Linked DNA regions of Solanum lycopersicum. The protein of the gene in region 1 interacts with the protein of each later gene in a pairwise test. Links are inferred from orthologs where the notes say so. Each region holds a gene or a part of one and is shown on either strand. Other genes may lie near its edges. The genes, in order: Hop-interacting protein THI018 and FER.

Region 1 (8,936 bases):
TAAAAGAACTTTTAGACAATTTGGTAACTTAAAATGTAGATATATTTATGGTTAGGTTGAACTTAGCAACTTTCTCCCAAACTTGATAATTATGTTAAAAAAATTACTTATTACGAAAAAACGCAATTCAAACCTAATAAGTTAAACAAAGTTTTAATTTATCATATAGAAACAATAAATTTAAAATTTGAAATTCATCTCTAGTCGTCAGTTAAAAGTGAAATTTTATATATATATATGCATGAACTCATTTCCTTTGTAGTGTGCTAGCTAAATGTGTTTTTTTACTTCTCCATAAAACTTCATACTTTTTTCTTATTTGATGACTCGAATTCATATTCAATTCAATATGAAGTTTGTGTTTACCAATTTGAGCAAAATCCCCTCTCGTCTACATGTGCTTGAGTTTAATACATGGTTTGAAATGTCATTTTATACAATTTTTTTATACGAATCTTGTAAGTAACGTAGGTCGTAGAGCGACATAGAAAAGGAGTTACATTCAATTAAACTCGATAATTTAATAAAACTTTTATATTTGTCCTTAAACTAACAAAAATTTGTATTCATAAATTTAATATTCTGACTCCACTCCACCGAAGATGAATCTAAACATCATGTAGTACTTTATTACACAATAATTTGCTCATAAACAAAAATGATCTCCAAAAATAAATAAATAAGAGAGAGCATATAATATAGTTGACAAATATTTACATGTGGAGCAAAGTTTAGATTAAGATTGAATGGTGTAAATTGAGAGAGGGTCGAATTTCTGAAGAATAGAATAAAAATGTACCTTCGTTAAATGACAAATTTAGACTTGCCCTAAATTGAAGGGAATCCATAGACCATGCATGAAGTAATAAGGTGGATATGTCTTAATCATCAACGACAAAAGTCATTATTAAAAAACAATGGATATTTATTAATTTGGTTCCCTCTATTAAAAAAAAAAACATTAGTACTAAATTAATTACAGTTTAATCACTTTTCAATATGAAAAATATCAATTAGATGATCATATATAACTCTGATTAAATCAAAAAACATTTAAAAATTTCAGTGTAACTTGAAATGTTTATAAGTACTATTATATGCACGGTTCAAACTCTAGTTGGGATAAATCCTTCAATCATGGAGTTCAAAAAAAAAAATATTTTCATACTAATTATTTTATTGCATGTTCCTATTTAACAATATATGTCATACATACACAATCTTTTTTTAAATTCCATGAAAAGTCCTTCATAAATTCAAACATCATGAAAGAAATATCTTTAAATTTAAATTACATTTATAACTCGATAATTTTTTTTTGAGCTCTAGCACATTATGTTAGAAGTTCACTTGTCAAAACTTCAATTTGTTATGGTGGATCGTTGATCCATATTTTAACTTAAGGTATTTTTCCTCAATTATGATTTTCGCCTTGAAAAATATTCAACTATTTCTCATTACATAGTCATCCTGTCTAATTTTTTCATATTATTTATGAATTTAACTTATATACCTAAATATTGTCATACAAAAGATATCATTATGATTATTATTAGTATAATTTAATATGTTATATATCAAACGTACTGTATTACACTATTTAGTGTTATAAAAAACCCGACAATTATATGTGAGTAACTATAGAAAAGAGTAGTACTAAAAACTGTAATAATTAATTGTACTCAAATGTCACACATTTATAAACAAAAAATATCACAGCTCATGTTGTACGTACGTACAAGGACGACAAGAAAGAACTCTACTGGTACTAATTAATATGAACATTGAACAAAGTCCTTTTTTTTTCTTTTTTTTTTGTTTTGTCTACTGGATTTAAACTAAGAAGAATTAAAAAAAAAAAACATGATAAATAAAGATAACAGGGGGGGATGTGTTCCCTAGGCTTAGCAAGAAATTAAAGTGTAGCTGCTTCCTCCTCAATTATTCTTAGCATGTGGTGGACTGCACCTGCTATGTCATCTGCTGAATTTAGTTGGCAACCTTCTTCCACCTGCCATTTTTTTTGGACAAAAAAATAATAAAAGACTTCGTCAAACACGATTTAACATGATATCAGAGAAAGCAAACATTATGTGTTTAACTTTTATTGTCATACGATATCACATAATTCTAACATGATATTAGAAAAAAGAAAAAATAATATGTTTGAATTTCTAATTTAATTTCAAAGATCTTATATCTGAGTTTTATTGTTATTCATTGTCGAACACAATCTAACATTGACATAAAAAGAAGCAAATCTCTTATGTTCAGAATTTAAGAAAAAAATATGACCATATTCAGAGTTTTATCTTCTATCTATTAGTACACAATTCTAACGTGATATTAGAAAAAGCAAAAAATTCTATGTTTTGAATTTTATTTTCCTTAGTTATAACATAATCTAACATGATATCAGAAAAAAGGAAAGATTAAGTATTCGAATTTTATCACCATTCATATCAAACTTATTTTATTTGTTTGGTACAACAACATAAGAAAATGTATCAATTGAACAATTTGACATAACCACTAAAAAAAAAATTAAAAAAATCATTTTTTTTTGAAATAATTCGTAATCATAAGTACAAAAAGACAAGTATGACTTTACTAAGAAACGCCATACAAGAATTGTAAAGAAACACCCTTTCTGACCCATCATTGCCTTCTGAAATTAGTAAAAAGTAGTAGACCTTTTTAAATTCCCAAAATACCCTCAACAACTTTTTTTTTTTTTGTAGCTCATATTTTCATGTAATGAAAAGTACCTGTGCTATATAGATTCTTGCAATCTCTAGTCATTTTCTTTCGAATAAAAAAAATTAATTATAAAAATAATAATTTTCAGAAAAAAAAAATGAAATGAAAATCGTACCTTAACACTTATTGAATAAAGAACCAATGGATCTAAAGTGGTGACATTGAGGTGAAGGACAGAAATGTACAATGACTGAAACGCAGCGACCAATTTTGATAGCTGACGAAATCTTCTTCTTGATAATATTCTAACATTTGCATGTGTTTCAATTAAAGTTACTTCAATATCAGCTATAGCTGCCTTGCTCTTTGATGTATATTTATTTGGTAATTCACAACATGTATATTGTGGATACGAGAAAAATTGAGCAAATGGGGTCCCAACATAATCCGCCTTCGAAACTTCTCTCTTTCCACCGTCACAATCATCATTATCATTACTAGTACCGCCTTCTTGTTGTTGTTGTAATAATACGAATTTTTGTGCTTCAAGAGATTGTAGAATGTGTTCTAATTCCTTTACGAATTCAATTGCACCACCAACGATTGAAGCTTGGTCACCCTGAATGAACGACAACATAATAATAATAATAATAATGATAATTACGTCTCAGTTCTCAATTGTCTTTATCAAGAAGAAAAACTTATTTAATGTTCTATAAGACATTCTTACAATGAATATTCTTTATCAAATGCCAACTTACACAGTACTACTACTACTACATACAATAAATTCACAAAATGATTGATTTTCAAGTTATTAATTGACAAATGTACGTAGGGTCATTTAGAAAAATTGAATGCAAAGCGTTATTTTCTGTTATTCAATTATTTTCAACCTCTTTTTCCTCGAATCCTTGACAATACTTTTTCCTGTTTGTACCTAAATGGAAATAAAAGCTACATATAACACTTAAAAGAAAAAAAAACATCAAACCCCACAAAGAAAAAATATAGAAAAAACAAATTTTTTTTATGAACTTATTTATGTAAATTTTAGTAGAGGGACCAAGTCTGAAAGTTGTTCGTATGCACTAGGGCTCATAATTCGAGAATAAATGAATAATAGGGCAAAAATAAAAAAAAACTTTATCCTACTAATTTGCAGAATTCAAAACTGTATACATAGGCTTAATCGATTAACTATCTAAACTTTCATATTAATGATGAAAATTCAAAAGTTTTAACTTACTAATATGTTAAATTTCTAACTTCGCCGTTACTAAAAGCACTTACCATCATGCATAAATTATAGAGAAAAAAAAAAGAATTAGTACCTTATAGTATATAGTATATAAATGTTGAATTTTTTTACGTAAATTAAAACTAACAAAAAAGAGTAATTAAATTAATTAGTGTACATACATACCCTTTGAACATAAGATTCAGGCATGAGAGAACGTAAAACAGAAAGATGTTCATTCATTTGTTTCCTCCTATTTCTCTCAACAGCAATGTGAGTCATTCTTTGATTTTCAGCTTCCTCTTTATTCTTACAAATTTTAGGTCTTCTTCTCCTTTTCTTTCTCCCTCCACCGCCGCCTCCTGATTGTGCCGCGACCGACAAATTATTCTTCTCTCTAGAAGACTCTGGTCGCGGCACTGAGGCGGCGATGGAATATTGTTGCTCTAAGGGAGTAGTAGTACAAAAATCTTGAGGCTTTAATAGAAAGGCATTATTTTCTTCATGATTGTCAAAAAATAAGGCATTTTCATCAAGATTGTTGTTGCTATTGGTGGTGGTGGTGGTGGTAGAGATTGTATCGTAGATAATGAAGTTGAGGAGTTCATTGGTAGAAAGTGCTTCTAAAGCCATTTGGAATAACTTTTTTTTTTGTTTGTGATTTTTTAGATAAGTAGGAGGGTCTTGGATTTTGCTTTGTAAGAGGGCTTTGTATGTGTGTGTTGTTTTGTTTTGAGAACCCCAATGAACATTTGACTTGTTTTACTAACTCTATTATCTATTTGTATGGAGTGTTATAAGACTTCAATTAGTATTTTATAGTGATAACCACTGAGTTCCTGAAGTAGTATGGGTAAGACAAAGACATATTATAGCTAGTAATTGATGGGTCGTCGTCCTTAATCAAAGCTTTCGAATTTTAGAATAAGAGAATAACGAACTTTTTGATAAAATAAATTATGTCTTTAGGTGGGCCTAGTTAGCGTGAATTCAAATTATTTAAATTAGTAAATTTTCGCTACGAATAAAAATTTATAATCATAGTCAGTTTTCAAATTTCAGAATAAAAGAACAAAAAAACTTTTTGATAAAATAAATTATGTCTTTAGTGGACGTAGTTAGCGTGAATTCAAATTATCTGGACTAGTAAATTGCAGCTACTAACAAAAAATTATAATGGGTGATTTGCTAAAATAGCATATCGATAACCTTTATAAGTTGTAAAATGCGATCTTGAACTTTTAGTCCAATTTAAAAAGAAACTTTGAAGGATACCTTAAATTAAGAAAAATTGTCGATTAAATAATAAATGCCTTTTATATATATATAAAAAAAGTAATGTTATTAGTTAATACAATTTAAACTTCTCTTCAATAGGCAATACATGGTAACTAATGAAATATCTCAAATATTTGCCAAGTCATTAAGCGCAATCATACGCTATTATTGATGTATTATGATATTATTTGTTAATTTGTATTAATAATATTAATTATAGCATCTTTTTAAATTTTATACATCAATTTCAATTAGAAGGTGTTTGAGGTTTTACAACTTATTAAGATTAATAATATAAACATTATAAATAATTAACATATTCACGTAATGGACGCTTGAAAACACAATCATTAGCTTTTCCCAAATTGAAGGCAAAAGTATTTAATATGATTATATATTTGAATGTTGCTATTGAAACAGAAGCGTAATTTAAGTCTTCATAAAATTTACTAGCGATATATTATGTTTTTTTTTTCTATTTTTTTCCACTCACTTTTTCATATAGAATGACTCGTTTGATATGCTTCACTCTCATGCATTTTATCGTTCATTTCAATTATTTATTTTAAAAAAAGGTTATAAGGGACCATTTTTTTAAAAATAATTATCAAAATTATACGGATCCGAGATTTTTAGTACATAATTAAACGGAAGGAATGCAAACGTGCATCTTTTAATTTAGAAAAAAAGTTTTATATTATGTTGTTCCTTGGTAAATATTCTAATATTTAATCTTTTCCCCTGAATCTTAGTAGTATCTTTGTACCGCAGAACAATGTCATGAGTAACACATATATTAATAAATAATGAAAGTAGGCATTTGGATAATATTTGTTGTAAATGTAAGGAAAATAGAATACTTTTCAAGTTGAAATTTGGATAATATTTTGTCCATTAGTTTTTACATTTTCCTTTTTAATAAGTTTAAACCTATGTTACTCTTGGGATGTTATATAACAGGTTTTAAAATCATGTAGCTTATATAATATTTTTAACATAATATAAACTTATAACGCAAACACATTTAGTTTAATAACATTAAGATTGAAAAGTTCTTTTTAATTAATATTTTTAACTTTAATATCAGTTATAACTTTATTTAATAAAATTTTAAACATAATTCTCTTATTTATATCAGAGTCATTAAGTCTGTTTGTATTTTGTTTATGCTACAAAATACAACATCTTAATAGTCTCAAAAATTAAAAAAAAATTGCAATAAATTTATCATTAAAATACTTAACTCAAAATTTTTAACAAAAATAAAAATTCACCAAATCCATCTATTCACGCTACAATCATCACCCACCATTAAAAACCAACATCACTGCCGCCTATCATTTTTCTCTATCATCATTCTCGTTCATACTGTTGCTACACTAATCAACTGTCATTATTATTAGCCATTATCCAAAAATCATCACCACCAATTATCATTACAACAATAATTATTGATTATTATCTACAATCATCATTATCAGTCAGACAGTCACCACTATATACTGTTAACCACCGTCACGAAATATTTACTATGATCCACACATCATGACACATCTAAATGCTCCCACAAGATTATTGGCCAAATGCCCTACAAATCTTACCGACTCAAATTTTACTAATAGAATCTCTACGACTATAAGAATTTTAACCCAAGCAGACCAGATCTTTCGTTTTCCCTATCTTTTCTTGTTAATTATTGCTTCTCCTTCTCACACACAAACAAAAAAAAATGTCTACATTTTAATTTACACACACATAATGTTAAGTCATATAATGGTTGTAATGCTTTGGTTCTCAATTTATTTATACAAAAATGTCAAAACATACTGCCAGAGGGGGGGTGGGGGTCCCAAGTGTAGGGGGACCCAAGATATAGATTGAGATATGCATAAAAACAATATAACAAGCTGTGCAAAAGCTACCCTTCACGCTCTTACTTTATATCTTCTTCTTTTTTTTTTTTCATTTTCCCTTTGAAAATTGGGAATTTTTTTTTCTACCCACTATAGAACTCAATTCCCTAGATAATAATACATGTATATTTTTTTTTTTGGCCTTTCTATACCTTTTTTCTTGTGGCTATCATGTCTTTAATCTTGCAAAATGTATTTTTCACGTCTATATATACTTGTCTATTCTATCAAATGAATGTCTTCCTAGTTTTACATTTAGCATAACTCAAAAATAAATGATTTCTTAAAAGTTTAAGATAAAAATTAATATATATTTTTTAATTATATCCATATGCTCTTTTTTTTTGTAATAATGTTCAATTCAGACAGTTTATTGATTTTAATCATGTAGTGCATTTGTTAATTTCTTAGTAGATGTGATTCTTGTTGTTTGTAATTAGGACCAAAAAATGTCAATTTTTATCTATTCAATTTGGAAAAATTATAAGATAATTTTGCACTTTATACCTATTTTTACACTTATGAAACATATTACTTCATCTGTCTCAATTTATATGACTCATTTTTCTTCTTAGTTAGTTTCAAAAAGAATTACAAAACTTTTCTATATTTAGCAACAATTTAAATTTTTAAAATGTCATCTATACTTATTTTAAATCATAAATTTTTAAAGTCTTTCTTTCTATCTTAAACTTCGTACGAATCGATCAAACTAACTTATATAAATTGATTTTCAAAAAAATATTATTTTTCAATATTTAAAAATGTTAGATTCTCCCTTTAACATATATCTTTTGTGATGGTTTCAGTGGGAAATGTCATTCACATCTTCCAACTTAACCTACGTGAAAAGTAAGGATCAACCACAAACCTTTGGGGTGGGGGGGGGGGGTTTAAAAAGGTGTCTCTAATGTCAGTTTATAGGGACTGAAAAGAAACTTCATAGAAATAGTTGTAGGTTTAAGCTAAAAATATTATTACTACTAGAAAACGAAGATACTTCTCGTAAATTAACATTACAACAACTTTTACAAGTTGATGAGCCAATAGCTTTTCACTATCTTCTTTCCAAATTATCATTTGGGGAAAAGGGCTCGTTTTGTCTGTGAAAATATTTTATTAAATTGATGAATATTTATCATATGTTACATTTTTAGTTCTTTCATTGTTAATTAAGTAACTCAAACATGTATTATTCATGTTATACGATATTGTTAGATTATTATATTACGAAAGAAACATATCAAGAGTAAGCTCTTAAAAGAGAGGATCAAACATATATCATATAGTAGATTTTTTTACAAAATTAAGGTGTATAATACAATTACATAAACTATAGGAGGTTGTACGAATTCCACCAAACAAGAAAACAAAATAATATAATTATAATGATGATAATAATATTTGCATGTCACAGATGAACCCATGAGTTTGTGATTCAGAGGAAATAGTCAACAAAAGAACAGGATAGATATTGCATGAATCAGTACTCTGGGAACCATAATTTATTTATTTATTTTATTAAAAAATATAACGGCGTAGTACATTATTATCTGAACAAAAAAACAAAACTACTTCCTATCTCAGGCACAGACATGAAGGTTCATTCACATATTGACACCTACTCTTTATTTAAATATAAGTATTATCCACTAAAATTCAATATCCATACACATAATATAAAATATCTATATTATCATTATGCTTGTTATTTTTCACGAGTTTTTAATTGTAATAAGTCTAAATTTAATTTCATTTTGAAGAAAAAAGCTAGTTATCTTTTCTTTTTTTTTTAAAAAAAAAAA
Region 2 (8,516 bases), on another chromosome or scaffold:
GTCACTCAGGCGAGGACACAAGGTAACGACTAACGATGAAACCTCAAGCCAACAATTTTTTTATTCGTTTATGTCTATTTTCATGATTCAAAGTTCAAACGAAGAACATAATGTTGGTTTGTTAGTCGAACTTCATGAGTTACTCTGAAGAAGGACATATTGATTCATACAGGCTCAATTGTACTTTTGTTGTATCTTTTGAGTTCTGATAGTGTCTCTTCTCTATATCATACTAATTTATTGTCTAATGTCGATAGAGATATGAATTCAGTGCATTTGTAGTCTAATGTATGATTTTAGTGATGGTGTATTTCATTTGTAGCACAGTAGCACCTTGTTCTGCATTGGTGGGAAAATTTCCTCGTTTAGATGTTATTTGTTCATTTGTTGGTTGTCTAATAGGTGAACAAGCTCAAATTTCAGAAGTTAGAAGTTCATCTGCTTGAGACTTTGAGTCTTACTCCTTTCAGTTCCCACGACTTCTGTAGTCTGCACAGAACTACTAGCAGTCGGCTCCCTAGTCTTAGATTCTCATTCACTCATTGCTCACGCCTCATAAGTAAGTTATTGTACTTTGTAGTTCTTGCTTTAAGATCAGTCACTTCCTACTGGTCCAAAGTATGTGAATAATGGTTACAAACTTTAATGTTTTAGAAATACAAAGAAACAAGAAATCAAGGGGAAATTTTGATGGTTGTTGATATAGCTTGATCAAAATTTCTAGTGTGGTCTCAAGAATTTTTGGAAGTTGTTCAATGCTGTAGAAATTCACAGCTTGGCACTTTGGCTCATTTGTTTGCACTTTGTTGTCTTCTAGTTGTTGCTTTGGGTGAACTGTGATGTGTCTATTGTCAAGTGTGTAAAAATTTGATACCACTTAACCTATTGTTTGTACTTGTAGTTCTTTCTTTAATAAAATTACTTAGTTTTTATATCTTTTCGCAATTTTTGGTGAAAAGTATCATGGCTGAAAATATCATAAGGTTATTGGTGAAAGTGGGGCTTCTAATTCAAATGCAATAGATCAAAGTCAAACTATTGAGTCTAAAGTAAGGAAAGGAAGAAAAAAAGATCTCGTGTGTGGAATCATTTTACTTATAAAACTAATTCTAAAGGAAGTGAAAAGGTTGTTTGTAACTATTGTAAGAAAGAGTATTTTGCTTACACAAAAGAACATGGTACGACGTCAATGCTTACTCATATAAACAAATGCACAAAGATGTCTTATAATATTGATATTAAACAATCAAGATTAGCATTTCAACCAATGATAGGTGGTAACAATGGTGATGTAGTTGTTGTTCCATGGAAACTTGGCTAGGAAAAGTGTAGAAAGGTCTTGCGTCGTATGATAATTATTGATGGCCTTCCTTTCAGATTTGTTGAAAAATAAGGTTTTAAACAATTTGTGGAAGTAGCACAACCTTGTTTCCACATCCCTTCCCGTACCACTGTGACTTGTGACTGTTTTGATCATCTTGATGAAGAAAAATGTAAGTTGATGGATGTTTTTACGGAAACACAACAAAGGGTGTATTTAACCACTGATAATTGGACTTTCATACAGAGAATCAATTATATGGTCATTACTGCTCATTGGATTGATAAAAATTGGACTTTGCATAAAAGAATTATCAACTTTTGTCCAATCACTAGTTATAGAGGTGAAAATCTTGGAAAGTCTATTAGTAAGTGCTTACATAAGTGGGGATTGCATCGAATTTTCACTATTATAGTTGATAGTGTTGATTCAAATAGTGTCACAATAACTGAGTTTTCTAAGAAATTAACTAAATAGGAGACCAACTTAATGGGTAGTAGTCACCTTCATATAAGGTGTATGACTCATTGTAAATCTTATTGTTCAAGATGGTACAAAAGAAGCAAATGTGCCTATTGAACGAGTTAGGCAATCAGTGAGTTACATCAGACAATCTCCTGCTAGGTGGAAAAAGTTTCAAGAATGTTGTGAAGATGAAAATCTTGCTAAAAAGTCTTTATGATTAGATGTTCCTACAAGGTGGAATTCCACCTACATGATGTTGAGCAGGGTTATTGAATATGAAGGGGAAATTGTAGAGTACGTCGATCGTGATATTAGCTTGACACTATATATTAAGTTTGTTGATAAAAATTCTACAGGTACACTTTTGAGTAGTGACTGGGAAGGCGTAAAGAGAATTACACAATTTCTTAAAATGTTTTTTAATCTTACTTTGAAGATATATGGATCACGATATGTTGCATCAAATATTCATTTTCTTGAAATTTGTCAAGTTGGTGTTTACTTGAATCAATTGATATCAAATAAAGATCAAGTTTTCGTTAAAATGGCAGAAAATATGAAAGAGAAATTTGACAAATATTGGGATGATACTGAAAAAATGAATAAGATGATTTTCATACCATGTGTTTTGGATCCTCGTCACAAGTTTAGTACTCTTGGCTTTGCATTTAAGAAGATGTTTGGATAAAAAGGGGTTGCTTTAGAAAATGGTGTGCGAACGTACATGGAAGCTTTGTTTAATGAGTATACAAAGCTCATTTCAAATGATAAAAGTGGCCAATTTTCTTCAACTGAGGTGGTACTTCTATTTCAAGTTCTATAGGAGAATTTAAAATATTTTTGGAGGAATTACATAAACATAAATCTGAAAAGGGAGGAGCAAGTTCAAGTCAGAATTAGTTAAATATCTTGATGAAAAAACTGAAATTGGAAACTCTGATTTTGATGTATTGATTTGGTGGAAAGTTAACTCAGCTAGATTTCCATTTCTTTCTGAGATGGCTCGAGATGTCGACCATGGACTGACGAGGAGAATGCTCCCTTTGGCGAGCTAGACACGGAAGAGTCACTAGAGATGAGACTATTTTGGCCACATTCCTTACTTGTTGGCTTTGCAAATTCATGCTTCCAAATACAACAAAGTCGAGCATGCACGTTGAGGCATGGATTCTCGATCAAACTCAATATTATTGAAGAATGAATTTGATCGAACCCAATAATTATCTAAACATTATACTCATTTAATATGTAATTAAAATTATTAATTTAAACATTTATAACTTAACAACTTCAAATTAATTCTAGGTTAGTGGGGAGGATTTGATCTTAATTTCCTCATTATCTATTTGTAAATCAATTGTTGTTTTGAAGATAAGGAAGAATAAAGTCATGATGATAAAATCAAAACAAGTGTTCCTTCATTAAGTAAAAGTCCCGTTTAGTTTGGATAATGAGTACTAAATGATAATACAAATTAAATATAGTTCAGTATTTTAGAAAGTTACAATAATAACATGATATTAGACCAACGGAGATGTCTCGAAGTCAAACCCTTGATTAAGAAAAGCACTAGCTATCCATAGCTTCAAATTGCCAAAGTTTATGTCCACCTCATGACATTCTCTCACCTGCATATCCATTTCCACACAAAAAAACAACAACAAAAAGGATCACTATACATAGATTTCCAATAAACAAAAATAGGTGCAAATGAATTGATAATTACTTTCTTCATTCAATTTATTTATCTTATTTTGACTTTGACATATTGAATTTAAGAAAATAAAGAAACATTTTTGAATATTGTAGTTTAGACTAAAATGTATCAAAATATATACTTTTTTAATTTTGAGATGTTAAATATATGAGGTGGAAAGTTGAAACTAAATAATTGCAAGAATAATGTAAGTTTGGTAACCTACATAAAGAGTGAAGGTGAAAATGTAATCATTGGTAGAAGTAGCCAAGTTGGAAGTTTGAACATTGAATCCATTGAGAGACTCAAGAGCTTTGAAAAGAGAAGCTGCAATGTGTCGCCCTTTGTTGCAAATTAATCTCACGTAAAATCCTTTTTCTTCTACTTGATTAATGTCCATCTGCAATATATACCATTTATTTATGTTTTATTTGGTAAAATAAGTAATTAACAAGTTTTTAGTAAAAACTAAACAAACCTTTGTTATCCTCTTGATTGCTGGATAATAGGTTGTGAAATTCATTTTCTTTGCATTTTGAAATATTCCACTTGATGACTCAAACTCTGCTATTTCAACTTTAAGTTTCTTTGCTTTGGTTTGTAGTCCTTGTACGTATAATATTGCATCTCCAATGATGGAGGCTTTATCCATCTGCCAATCAAACAAAAAATCATCATGAAATTGATTGAGGGTGAAGGGTCTTATCAATATTTGAAACTACATACATACATATACAGGGGCGGACCCAGTAAGCCAGACGCGGGTACTCGAGCATCCATTGATTTTCGAAAATTTTTAATATATATATATAAAATATGATATATATGTTATTATAATTTAAATGAGCACTCATATAACAAAAGTAGCTGTAGGTGAGTTGGTTTAAACCTCTGCAATAAGAGGCGCGCGAAGCCACTGGCAAGCGTTCAATCTCGCCAGTAGCATTTCTTTTTTTTAAAATTTTTTTTAAGCACCCACAACCTTTCAATCCTGAATCCGCATGTACATACATACCTTTGTGATATTAGGAACTAAGGATCGCAAAGCGTAAAGCTTTTCCTTCATTCTTCCTCTCCTTTTGCGCTCCGAAATCAAAGTTCTGGACCGGTCAGTCCTCGTGCCTTTGCTTGTTGGAGTCATTTTGGTGGTAGCCGTTGTGCCAGAAGATTCATCATCGTCTTCATCATCATTATTATCCAGCTTGATTTCGCAGTTATATAGCGAAATAGGATCTGGCAATGTTGTATCATAGAAATCCATCGACGATAATATTGGCTCAAATTGGGCATTGGCTGCGGAAAAACAACCTGTCATATGTTCACAATCATAGTTTGGGCAAAAATTTACAATAGGATCAGCAGTTTCACCCCTAATAAGCTCAATGAATTGTTCAAAATTATCCTCATCCAAGAAATTAATAAGCCCAATATCATTAACATTATTATTTTCCATTGATGCATTACCACTCTCCATTTTTTTTTTATTTTGGAGAAATAGTGAGAGGGGTCTACTGGGGATTTATAGATGTTTGATTAATATTAATTACTATAACAAAGGGAATCGAATATAGTGACTTGGAGTTGTTAAAACTAATATTAAAACCCTAAGGGTTGTTGACAAATTTTAATTTAATCTAATTTTAATTTTATTTAGGCATCAAATGAACCTTCACCAGATTCCACCACGTACTACTTTTTGTTTTAAGTATTGATGAAGTAAGAGAGGATGTCATGATCTAATTTTACTAATCTAACTAAATATTCTTTTTATTTATTTTGTGCCTCAATATATATATATATATTAGTATCACGACTAAGACATCATTTAATATGCTCACTACTCACTCTGGGGTCGGAGCTACCCTGTCCTATGGCTATTGGACACTTTTTATTGAAAAATTACTTAGATAAATATATTTTAATAAATAATTATTAATTTTAGTGATATTTTTATTTATGACCATTTATCGTAATATCATAATAAATCTGTAATATGTATTAAAATGAATTATGTATGTAATATATCATGCTTGATTAATAAGAAATTTACACATTATATTAAAATGTGATAAATGCATTATTCATCAATAGAAGTTGTATTATATGTGTTTTTATAAATTGTTCTCTATCATATGTATTAAAACTGTAATATAAATGTATTAAAAGTGATCAAATGTTGTTGCTATAAATAATAAGTATTTTCTTAATATAGTATATTTATATAAGTTTCCCAAAATTATACTGTGTACAAAGGATGACAATTTCAATACATATAAGTGAAATAAATCTATTTTTCCCATATTAATTAAATGAAATGGCCATCACTCATATTTTTTTAAACGGAGAATTTTCACATATAGTCACTCAAAAGTAACTTAATTATGCTTCATATCTATAGTTTGTTAATTCTCATTCATAGCTACATGTCAGAGAGAGGAGTGATTGGGAGAGGAAGAAGAGAGGCGAGTGAGAGAACGTAGAGATTGGAGAGAGGCGAAATGTATATGTATATATGTTAAATCGTGTACGTATAGCTATCAAATAATGATATATATGTAACTGGTATATATATTTATTTGTATATGATATAGCGGCCAAGAATGTCAAAGGGAGGAGAGAGACAAGCAGAGAGGGGAGGGAGTGGGGAGAGGGGATTGTGTGTGTGCGCGAGAGAGAGATCGATAGAGAGAGAGAGGAGAGCAAGTGTGTGTGTCTGGCGAACGAGATTGGAAGAGAGAAGAGAGGAGAGCAATAGTGTGTATAAAAGAGGACCTGCTACGTAATTACATCTAAAATTAAGTTATGAGCCGTAATTGATTCAAACTATAGCTATATTAGCTAAGCAACCAATATATATTAATTTTTCTATGTAATTTTCTATTCTTAAATGGATAATATAAACTTTAACCTGTTTAAGTTCATACAAATATTATGAACAAAATGGGTAAAATGAGAATATCCATATACTCATATAACACACTAACTTATGATAAAAATCTCTAGTTGCCCTATTTGTTTTTGAGAACAAAAATAAAATATTGGGTTGGGGTGGGGGGGATAGGGGGGAGGGGGGAGCTGTGGGCGGAGGCAATTTATTTCTTTTTGGAAATTTTTTTGGTAGGAGGTGTCCTGAGATGGGGGTGGGGGTAGAGTTGGCAAATTTTTTCATAGAAAAAAGTTCTATTTTTTTTTTTTTGCAATCCAATGCATTTTAATTCAATTTATATTTCGTTTATTCAAATTCAATCTAATTTAATTCACTTATTTGTTATCCCTAGTTCGAAAGAACAGATAACACTTAAGAAATGACTTAAGTTGTAACTTTTACCTTTTACTATTCCCATTTTCAAGAAAATTAATAGTCGTAGCATTATTTAATTTACTTTTTACTTTCTACTATACTTTCTTGTTTAACAATATAAGTACCCCGTTATCTAATTTAATGCTGAAACCACTGCAAAAACCCATGACACAAGCTAAGCCCATGGATGGAATTTTCTATATGAGAATCTTTTATCCAATTAAATATAAAAGCTCGTGCTTGCGTTGTGCAACGAGTTGTGTCACACAAGCACACCGTCTGCCGCCACTAACAATCATATATTAACTTGATTTACTTAATTTAATAGAGTATGAGTATGATCTCAAAAATTAATGACTTTGGATAGAGGTGGGCGTTTCGGATTGGGATTCTCAAATTTTAAATTCGGTGTTGATAGTTAAATGTAGATATCAATTTTTTAAATTTCGTCTTGGTAATTTTGATGATTGATAAATTAAATTTTAATTTGATACAGTATTAAGTAATACCGTATTTAAGTTCTACCCAATGGTATTACAAAGTTAATTCTCTTTCTCCAATTATTTCTATTTTTTTATGTGGATGCACAATATAATGGAATATCAACAACTAAGAAGACATTAAGAAAAAAAAATCTATACAACAAAAACATATGTGTTTGAGTTGTTTATATTTGGAGAAAATACATTGAGTGTCATATGAACTTGTCCCGTATTTTCAAAAAAAAAAATCTTAACTATGTGAGCGTCCTATTACCCAGTAAATAATATTAAACTGATATTATTATATCATTTTTTTTGTTTACCTTACATAGAGAGTGTGTACACTCTCTCAAAGAGAGTGAACAACCTAAATAACTAATATAATCTTATTTTGAGATAAGTATCAAAAACACACATAAATTATCCCTTCTTTTTATTTCATACCTAAATTATCGATAGTGTACGTTTCATGGGTAAAGATTCGGTCAAGTATAATTAGGTTAAGTGATGTTCAATGGTCTTACATATTCATGCCATGTGTACTATATAATAATTTATAGTTGAGATCAACTTAAATTATATGCTCATTAATAATAATTATAAAACAACAAAGCTGTCAAATTTTTTATTTTTTAAAACTATCAAATAAAGCAATTATGTGTATCCAAACTAATATTTTCACAAAAAAAAATTAAGATTGATGGGAAAACGCAATCTTTCTGACTCTTTACCCGACAAACTTGTTCAGGAGTAATTTCACACATGCCATCTCCAAATTCTGAAGAAATCTCCAAGAATAGATCAAACTTAAAAACATAATTGAGTTCTAAATAATAATTCAACATAAGAACATGATAATACATTTTTTTTATAAAAAAAATACTTAATTGGAGGTTTTCAAGTAATTATAAAAATACATTTATTCAGAATTTTCAAAAGCGTCAGATTCTTTAAAATTAGTATAATACAAAAAAATTCAATACAAGTATGAGATTTGGCAGGTTAAAAAGTCGGAAAGTACTCATATTTTTGTAGTCTTATTTTTTCTTGAAAATGTTAGCTATGATACACTTGATTGTTTTATTTGATAGTATTAAGAAATAAAAAAAATTGACACTTTCGTTGTTTTTATTATTAAGATGAATATATAATTTAAATCAATCTCAACCATAAATTATTTTATAGTATACATGGCATGAATTTATAAGGTCATTGAACATTACTTGACCTAATTATATTTGACCGGATCTT

Evidence for each region.
Region 2: the proteins of Hop-interacting protein THI018 (region 1) and FER interact in binary tests that used the Arabidopsis thaliana proteins (3 or more experiments, as listed by UniProt). The link is inferred for Solanum lycopersicum from reciprocal best matches to the Arabidopsis thaliana genes bHLH071 and FRU.

What each region holds. Positions count from the first base shown.
Region 1 is NC_090807.1:62,878,009-62,886,944, reverse strand, and holds Hop-interacting protein THI018, read right to left. Parts: upstream 4,574-8,936; coding exon 4,127-4,573; intron 3,320-4,126; coding exon 2,876-3,319; intron 2,012-2,875; coding exon 1,916-2,011; downstream 1-1,915. UniProt on the Arabidopsis thaliana protein: Transcription factor. May be involved in the differentiation of stomatal guard cells.
Region 2 is NC_090805.1:37,596,371-37,604,886, forward strand, and holds FER (bHLH transcriptional regulator), read right to left. Parts: upstream 4,971-8,516; 5' UTR 4,957-4,970; coding exon 4,498-4,956; intron 4,135-4,497; coding exon 3,961-4,134; intron 3,883-3,960; coding exon 3,709-3,882; intron 3,415-3,708; coding exon 3,307-3,414; 3' UTR 3,188-3,306; downstream 1-3,187. UniProt on the Arabidopsis thaliana protein: Transcription factor. Essential protein involved in iron uptake responses. Regulates FRO2 at the level of mRNA accumulation and IRT1 at the level of protein accumulation. Confers enhanced iron mobilization responses at low iron supply.